2 linked regions of the Mus musculus genome follow. The main gene of each other region encodes a partner of the protein of the gene in region 2 in a complex. Links are inferred from orthologs where the notes say so. Each region holds a gene or a part of one and is shown on either strand. Other genes may lie near its edges. The genes, in order: Shank1 and Arhgef7.

Region 1 (4,394 bases), on a different chromosome or scaffold from region 2:
AGAGAAGCTGCAGCTGAAGACAAACTCAGAAACTATCTAGAACAACCCTCTGTAGGAGCTGGTGTTCCCTAGTGGCCCTGGGGACGCTGCTGGGCAAAGTGGAAGTCATGGCTGAAGAGGGCTGAAATATGCTGAATGAATCTGCCTTCCTCTGTGAATGTACCAGGTAGGAGAAAGCTGACTACCTGCACACAATTAGCTTTGTGTGTCCATGTGTGTGAAATTGGAGGCGTTATAGAATGCAGAAGGGTATACATCTTCAGGTATGTTCTTTGAAACACCATAGCAGGCCTGTGGAGAAGATGGAGACAGCCTTCTGTGTTCTTCACCCTTGATACCACCTCTTTATAGCTGGGTGGCCTGGGCCAAATTACTTAGCCTTTCTGTGTGCTTTGACAGGAAAGAAGTCACTGAACCTGGCACCTATAGTATACTCAAGGATAGCTGGGGGGGTGGGAGGTGTGCTGTGGGCAGGGTGTACAGGCAAACAGGCAAAAACACCTGTGATGACCAGTGGAGTGGGTGAGCTGGCTCGGACAGCACACAGGTCTGTCTACCGTGCTTCTTGTAGGTAGATCTAAGTATGTAGTTGGAGTATGGTGTAGGTCAATCTTGCAGGGTGCTGTCGGTATGCTGTGGCACAGGGGTGTGACATTGTGCATGAAGCTGGGTGTGTGTCTCTGGTTGTGTGTACTGGGCAAGCATGCCCTAAGGAGTAGGTAGCTGTGGGTATGCTTGGTTTACAGGACCAGCTTGGGGGAAGGGGTATGTGCCTCAGGTACTTCCATGTATGTGAGCTCATATGGAAAGTTGTGTGCATGTGGGGAGGGGTATGTGTGTGTGTGTCGGGGTGGAGGGGTGAAGGTACACACATTTGGGGGTACAGGACCAGAATCTATAACCCACAGTATTCGATTTGGGAACATACAGACTCTACAAATACAAATAGCACCCCACCATGTGTAGAAAGGGTGGGGAGCAATCTGGAGGAGGGGCTCCCCTAGGAAGAGCAGGATCCCACTAGGGGTACATGGGGGTGAGCAGGGGTGGAGTCTGGGTTTGAGGATGGGGCAGTGGAGATGAAGGGTGGAGGAGGGCGAGGGGGGGGGTGGAGCCGCGCGTGTGTTGGGGGGAGAATGGGCGAGGTTTGGGGGCTCAGGGAGGGGCGATATCTCTCTGCGGGCTCCCGGAGGGAGGGGAGAGGGCGGAGGGAGGGGAGGGAGGGAGAGAGAGGAGAGCGAGAGAGAGAGAGAGAGAGAGAGAGAGAGAGAGAGAGAGAGAGAGAGACCGGGTGAGGGAGAGACAGCGAGTGCGAAAGAGAGCGAGCCGGGTGGCAGTGGAGGCGCCGACCGGGACTCAGCAGCCCCGCCAGGCAGGTAAGGGCACGGGACACTACAGGGTGGTTCTGGGGTAGGGTGCAATTGCGAGAACTGGGGTTGCGGGAGAGGGCGGAGGCGCCCCGGATGTCCTTGGCCTGGCGCCGGCTCCGGCCTGGGTGTACATTTAGGGTGTGTGTATGGGGGGGTGAGGGTGTGGAAGGTAGCATGGCCCCTAAGGGTGACATCAAATTGGGTTGCGACCTGGTCCCGAGTGCCCCGTCCCAGATCGTATCCTTGCTAGGAGGGTGTGCCCCATCCCCCACGTGCTGCGCCCCCTAAGCCGAACTGGTCTCGGAGGCTCTCCGGGGCCAAGACTGGGTCTTGGTCCCCGCCTCCCAACCCGGCTCGGCCACTCCCCCGCCTCGCCCACCCCAGCACACCTGGGCCCCTCCCCTAGGTCACCCTGGTCTCCAACCACTCCAACCCAGGGTCTGGGCCAGAGCCTCCTACGACGCCTGGACCCGGCGCCCCTTCCAGGCGTCTGTAGTTCCTTTCCACCCGCGCCTCGCGTGCCCATCGCGCCTCAGGTTCCTTCTCCGCAGGCCGGCGCGCCCCCTCTGCTCCCGCCCCCAGTCCCAGCTCCCTCTCCCGACCCAGGGCTATTCTTTCACCAACCTCCCTGCTCCCGCCTTCCTCCACCTCCATTCATTCTCCCCGGGCCCGGCTCCTGGCCACGCCAGCCGTCCCCTGTCCCCCCGCAGCCTCTCAGGGCACCCCCTCTCTCCCCTTAGCCACCCCCCCCCCTCGCCGATTCCTCAGCCCGTCTCGGTACCAGCTGCGTGCCAGCTATTCTTAGCCGCCGAGCTTTTGATTCATGCCGCCCCGGCGGAGTGTGCCCGCTCCCTCCCTCGAGGCCGGAGGGGGAGGGGCCCCGAGCTGTCCTGGGTGTTGGGGCAGTGGAGCCCGCGCTATAGGGGACCTAGCCTTTGCTGACCTTTTATCCCACCTGCCACCCCTTTCCTGCAGAGCTGGGGCTGCAAAGGGGATGTCAGCCAGGGTCAGCCGAGGGGGAGTGGCTGAGGTCACACTGCCAGGCGGGATGTGGTGTAGGGCGGTCAGCAGACTGAGCTGGAGGCCCGGGTCTCCTCCCCAGCCCAGCGGGTTGAGCCACAAGGCAGGGTACCTGGGATGGGGTGCTTCAGAGCTCGGTCCCCGCGAGGGGGAGGGTTCCTCAGCCCGTGGTTAGACGCCTGCTCGCCTACAGTTCTTGGAACTCTCTTCCTTAAACATTTCGTCTTTCCTTCCCCAACCCTCCCTCCCCCCAGCCCATCCCCACTCCCCCAAAGTCAGCAGTACCCTCCACTGCTTCCCATCTCCATGGCAACGGTGCAGGAGCCGGGCCTGGTGTGGGGTGGGAGGGACCAGACCAGACATTCTGCTTTCCGGTTCTAGAGTGGGGAGTAGGGGGTGGCAAACAGGAGAGAAGAGGACCGCATTTGGAATGGAGCCACCCCTCAGTAGGCCACTTTGAGAGGGACGACCCTCCCCATCTCCTGGTCCCCATATTGTTGCAGCTCACTTCTTAGCTTCCTCCCCAGACACCCCACCCAATCCAAATTCTCCTCGGTGGAGCCTCCAGTACCAAGCAGTGCCAGCCCACCCACCCTGCTGTGCCATTCCTGAAACACCCACAGGTCACCTGCAGCTGCCCACACCCACCCAGGCCACCACAGCTTGTCACCTGGACTTTCCAGCCAGAGCCAGGGCCAGCCTCCCTATCCACCCACACATCCTCTTCACACGCCCCAGTAACCTCTCATCATGGGTCTCTTGGGCCCAGCTCAGGGGAACTTCTCTTTTCTGTTCATCCACCCCCACTCGTGTCCCTCCATCCCCTACAGGGACAGCTCATTCCCCAGCAGCAGCCCTCTAAACATGTGGTCAGCCACACTTCAGTGAAGTCACCAGCTCTCGGGCACCTCCTGCTGCCCCAGGCTCAAAACTCACACCTCCATCTCACCTTTACTATAAAAGTCAGTCTCCACCTCCCTGGGGTGAAGGGGCCAGGCTCCGGCCAGGAGGGCAGGATGCCGGGGTGGATTGGTCCACCTGTCTGTCCTTAGCTAATTTTAGCTTCATTTTTTTGTAGTTTGACAAAGTGGGCCACTAGCTCCCGCGGTGATTCTGTGATTTCTAGGACACACTGGGTCAGCCACAAAGTGGAGCGCAGGGGGGTGGGGGGCTGCAAGCAGGGCCAAGGACAGGGAGGAGAAAGGTGCCAGGAAGGCTGCAGAGGTGGTGCAAACTTGTCTGTGCAGGGGGCTGAGGGCATGTCTAGTCTCCCTTGGCTGCCCCTGTGTCTGTCCACTGGTACTGGTGGCCTCTGAGTGGCTCAACAGTGAGGATCACCCTTGCTTTTCTCAGCTGCCTGTGATGCTGCTGTCCCCCGTCGCCCCGTGGCCCCACGATGACCCACAGCCCCGCGACAAGCGAGGACGAGGAAAGACACAGTGCCAGCGAGTGTCCCGAGGGGGGCTCAGAATCGGACAGCTCCCCAGACGGGCCAGGAAGAGGCCCCCAGGGGACTCGGGGCCGAGGCAGCGGAGCACCTGGTAACCTGGCCTCTACCCGAGGCCTCCAGGGACGCTCCATGTCTGTCCCTGACGACGCCCACTTCAGCATGATGGTTTTCAGGATTGGCATCCCTGACTTGCATCAGACGGTGAGTGGTCACTCACCTGCCAGCTGACAGACACATTGGCCAAGTCTTTCCCCACTCTCAATCCCAGATCTAGCTGGAATCTTATTCCTTTTCCAACCTACCCTTGACCCTCATACCCTTGACCCAACCTAGCCCCAGACATCCTGTCTCCCACCAGAAATGCCTACGCTTCAACCCAGATGCCACCATCTGGACAGCCAAACAGCAAGTACTCTGTGCCCTGAGCGAGAGTCTACAGGACGTGCTGAACTATGGACTGTTCCAGCCAGCCACCTCAGGCCGGGATGCCAACTTCTTGGAGGAGGAGAGGCTTCTAAGAGAGTACCCTCAGTCCTTTGAGAAAGGGGTACCCT
Region 2 (3,802 bases):
CATTACTGTGAGAGCGGCGAATGGAAGTCATGTTGCCTTACTGTGTGTGATGGCACCGAGTGGGGTTTGATGGTGGGGTTGCTCACAGATGTGACCTTCGTCTGCTTCTGCAGGTGTTCCACCCACTCGTGTAAGTCCTGCTGGCTGGTGCAGGACACCAGAATCCGCTCGATCATGCTCCCTAGAGAGGAGGGGCACAGTGAGTACACATAAGCACATGTACACACACACCCAGGACCCAAAGCCACCTCACACACCCTCAGACATATATAAGGCTCTTCACTCAAGGACATGGCACTGGCACAGTGTGGATACATTACCTGATATCTCAAATGCATTCCTATGGTTTTCACTGTCCTCAAGCTTTGTGATTGTCATTCCTGTTGTTGGCAGCTTCCCCTACAAAAGACCCCCCAAAACAATGTTTTCCTAATAAAGAAGGGACCACACACATTAAATGACTTCACACGTGGCAGCAGAATTAAGTGTACAAAAGAGCTTAAAGGACACCTTAAAGAACAGTCAAACCAGATCAAGAACCCAAACTGAACCAAAGCAGGATCTTGACCCAATGGGTGATTCTATGAGTGGAAGACAGAAGACGGAGCCAGGGTGCACAGTGGCTGCTTTAACGGCATATGACAGAGAACTCACTGCCTCACAGAGAAAGGAGTTAGGAGTTTGAAGAGCCAGCTGATGAGTAATGGAGACAAAAACACAGAGAGAGACAATTCAAACAGGAAATAAGCCGTGATGTCAAACGGATGCCACAGGGTGCCCAAGTGGCAGTCAGTCTGTCTGTAAAATGGGAGGGATTCTCCATGAAGCAGGAAATGCCAGCTGAGAAAAACAGGGGGACAAAGCTCATTTAAACAGTAAAAGCCAGCAGGCAACAGCTTTCCCTGGGCCATATAAACTGTGACAGCCAGCTGCCAAAGGCCACATCTTTACAAAGAGAACAGGGTTTTCACCAGCAGACAGGAGACAGGAGTTGTGCTGATGAGTTTTGTCCACTTGATACAACTAAAGCTATCAGCAGGAGAAAAGCCCAACAGAGGGACTGTCAGCCTTCCTGGGGCCCACAGACAAGCCTGCCCGGGTACTTTTGATTAGTGACTGACAGCAGGAGGCCCAGCCCACCATGCAAAATGCCACCTCTGGGCAGAGGCTTCAAAACCTTAGAAAGGCATGGCGGGTGGGGGGGAGCAGGGGAAGGCAGGCAGCAGGGCACTCCTTCTTATTCTCCTTCTCTGTTCCTGCTTGTCCTGCACTATCCTCAGGGATGGACTGTGACCTGGACATGGGAGTCAAACTGCTTATGATGTGTAAACAGAGGTCCAAAGCAAACAAGGAAAACTACCGACGACGGTTTCCCTATCTTGTGCCCTACTCCAGGCAAAAAACAAACCAAACAAACAAGTCACCCAGTCCAAACAGTTGAGGGCCAGGCTGAAAGCGCAACAGAGGCCTAACCCCTCAGTGGCTGAGGACAAGAAGCCCCACAGAGGAGTGTTGGCTGCGCTTTCCCAGCAGCCGCCTCTTATCTTCAGCCATGGAGCCGCAGTCCCACTGCCAGAGCTGCCATCCCCAAAGCCAAGGAGGTTCTGTTTTTAAGACGACTCTTGCTATGTAGCCCAAGCTAGCCTAAAAAATCTTGATTTTTCTGCCTTAGCCTCCAAGCACTGGAGGTGATGATCACCACAGGGCTAATCAGCATACTCCTGGGAACAAAGATGGCCCTGGTACAGAGATGGCATCTCTAGGAGCACGCTGCAGCAACAGCAGACAGCCCCTGCACAAGTGCCAGCCTAGGTTGGGGCTCTAGGGTATGGAGTGGAGCCAGAAACAGGCATCTCTCAACAGGGAGCTGCCACCCGGGCACCTTAGCCACCCAGAAGGTCTCACCAATGGAAGCCTCAGGTTTCTGACTCTTCCCATGCATATTTGCTCGGCCATCTATCTGTAAAGGCTCCCTTGGGACACCTGTGGTAACTAGCCCTCCTAGGGACAGACCAAGCCACATCTATTTTCCACAGGACAACATAAAACACACACATCAGAGAAAAGCCGGTTGAAAGTGAAACAACAACATCCACTAAAATAGTATGTGGAGGCTAGCCAGTCCTTGAGACAGGATCACTGATAGCATCTCCCAGACCCTACCTAATGTCCCCACCATTGGTGGGGACTAACAGAAAAGAGTCCCTCACACTCTCTCTTACAACTAACTCTCAAACGTTCTCCAAGAAATGGTGACAAACCAAGACACTAAAAGAAAGTTTACTAACAGTTTACTAAGGTTAAATGATCAGGTTCCAAGTCCAGAGTTTTGGGATGTTCTACCCCTTACTGAAGACCTTAGCCCTCAGCACCTAGCTGAACCTACCTTGGGCAGAATGGAACATGAAAGCCCAGAGAAGCAATGTGCTTTGCAGAGGACAATGCGGTCAGGGAGAGATGGATGTGGGCTGTTCACTGCTCTCCAGTCACATCAAAAGATGCAACAGACGTGAACACACAGAGTTCTTACACAGAGTCACGACATGGTACCACACGTGGCACACACAGGTGAGTACAACATTAATACATTCAATTCAAAGGAGAACAATTGCCACATCCACTACAAACAAAAACTACAATCAGTGTAGCTGTGTTTACCTGATAGATGAAACCACTCATCCTGGGACTTGCAGACAACATGAGCAGAAGGTTTGGGAAGAGCAGGAGGTATCTCTCATTCTTCTCCTAATAGTAAAAAGAATCTGTTCATAAATGTGTGCACAAATCTTTATACCAGATCCCATGGAATCTCAGACCTTATTTCTACTTGAGATTTCTACCAAACTAGATGAGCAATATTAAATGCCACCAGAATCTAACCAAACCCACATTAAACCTCAGCAGGTCGGAGAACTATAACCAGAAAGAGCTATAGAGCTTGTGAGCGCTTTGTAAGACCAAAAAAAAAAAAAAAAAAAAAAAGGGTTTATTTAGCTAGGTGTGATGGCACAAGCCTTTAATCCCAAAACATGGGAGGCAGAGGCAAACAGATCTCTGTGTATTCCAGGCCAGTGGTCTATATATTGAGTTCTAAGACAGTAAGAGCTATGTAACAGAGATCCTGTGGAAAGAGAGAGAATGAGAGAATGAAAGAATGACAGAGAGAGAGAAGGAAAAGGAAAAGAGAGAGAAAAAAAGAAGAAAGGAAAGGAAAGGAAAGGAAAGGAAAGGAAAGGAAAGGAAAGGAAAGGAAAGGAAAGGAAAGGAAAGGGGAAAGGGGAAAGGGAGAAGGAGGGAGAGGAAGGGGGAAAGGAGAAAGGGGAAAGAAAAGAAAAAGTAAAAGGTCAGGATATATTTCTTTGTATTGCTTATATGTGTGATGTCTTCCTGCATGTGAACAGAGCCCAAACACCACAAGAAGGTGTGGGACCCCCTGGAACTAGAGTTACAAATGGTTGTGAGCTGCCATGTGTGTGCTGATAATCAAGCCCAGGTCCTTGGGAAGAACATCCACTGTTCATAACCACTGAGCCCTCTCCATCCTTGTATGGAGTATCTTTGAATATTACTTGGTAACTGTCTGCGCGTGGCCCAGAAAAAAGAACTTAGAAACTGCTACTGAGGCCTGAGGACCGGTGGATTCTTCAAGCTACAAGAAAGTAGGACAAACTGTTAAGTCAATGTTGCTCTCATCTACCTGACAAACCTCTTCAGCTACATAAAAATATTTCTTGTACACTAAAAATCATTTGCTTCAAAGTAACAAAAGCCAACACACACCTAAGAGACAGGAGCCCAGAGA

Evidence for each region.
Region 1: the proteins of Arhgef7 (region 2) and Shank1 are in contact, whole or in part, in a crystal structure (PDB 3L4F), measured with the Rattus norvegicus proteins. The link is inferred for Mus musculus from reciprocal best matches to the Homo sapiens genes ARHGEF7 and SHANK1. Residues at the interface, in XP_063131056.1 of Rattus norvegicus: Asp735, Ala737, Trp738, Asp739, Glu740, Thr741, Asn742, Leu743; in NP_113939.2 of Rattus norvegicus: Gly673, Phe674, Gly675, Phe676, Val677, Leu678, Arg679, Gly680, Ala681, Lys682, Phe696, Glu703, His735, Arg736, Val739, Ile742.

The regions. Positions count from the first base shown.
Region 1 is NC_000073.6:44,308,921-44,313,314, forward strand, and holds the start of Shank1 (SH3 and multiple ankyrin repeat domains protein 1), read left to right. Parts: upstream 1-1,343; 5' UTR 1,344-1,376; intron 1,377-2,064; exon of another isoform or gene 2,065-3,743; 5' UTR 3,744-3,786; coding exon 3,787-4,041; intron 4,042-4,198; coding exon 4,199-4,394. UniProt on the Homo sapiens protein: Seems to be an adapter protein in the postsynaptic density (PSD) of excitatory synapses that interconnects receptors of the postsynaptic membrane including NMDA-type and metabotropic glutamate receptors via complexes with GKAP/PSD-95 and Homer, respectively, and the actin-based cytoskeleton.
Region 2 is NC_000074.6:11,811,540-11,815,341, reverse strand, and holds part of Arhgef7 (rho guanine nucleotide exchange factor 7), read right to left. Parts: intron 2,746-3,802; coding exon 2,659-2,745; intron 400-2,658; coding exon 321-399; intron 182-320; coding exon 42-181; intron 1-41. UniProt on the Homo sapiens protein: Acts as a RAC1 guanine nucleotide exchange factor (GEF) and can induce membrane ruffling. Functions in cell migration, attachment and cell spreading. Promotes targeting of RAC1 to focal adhesions. May function as a positive regulator of apoptosis.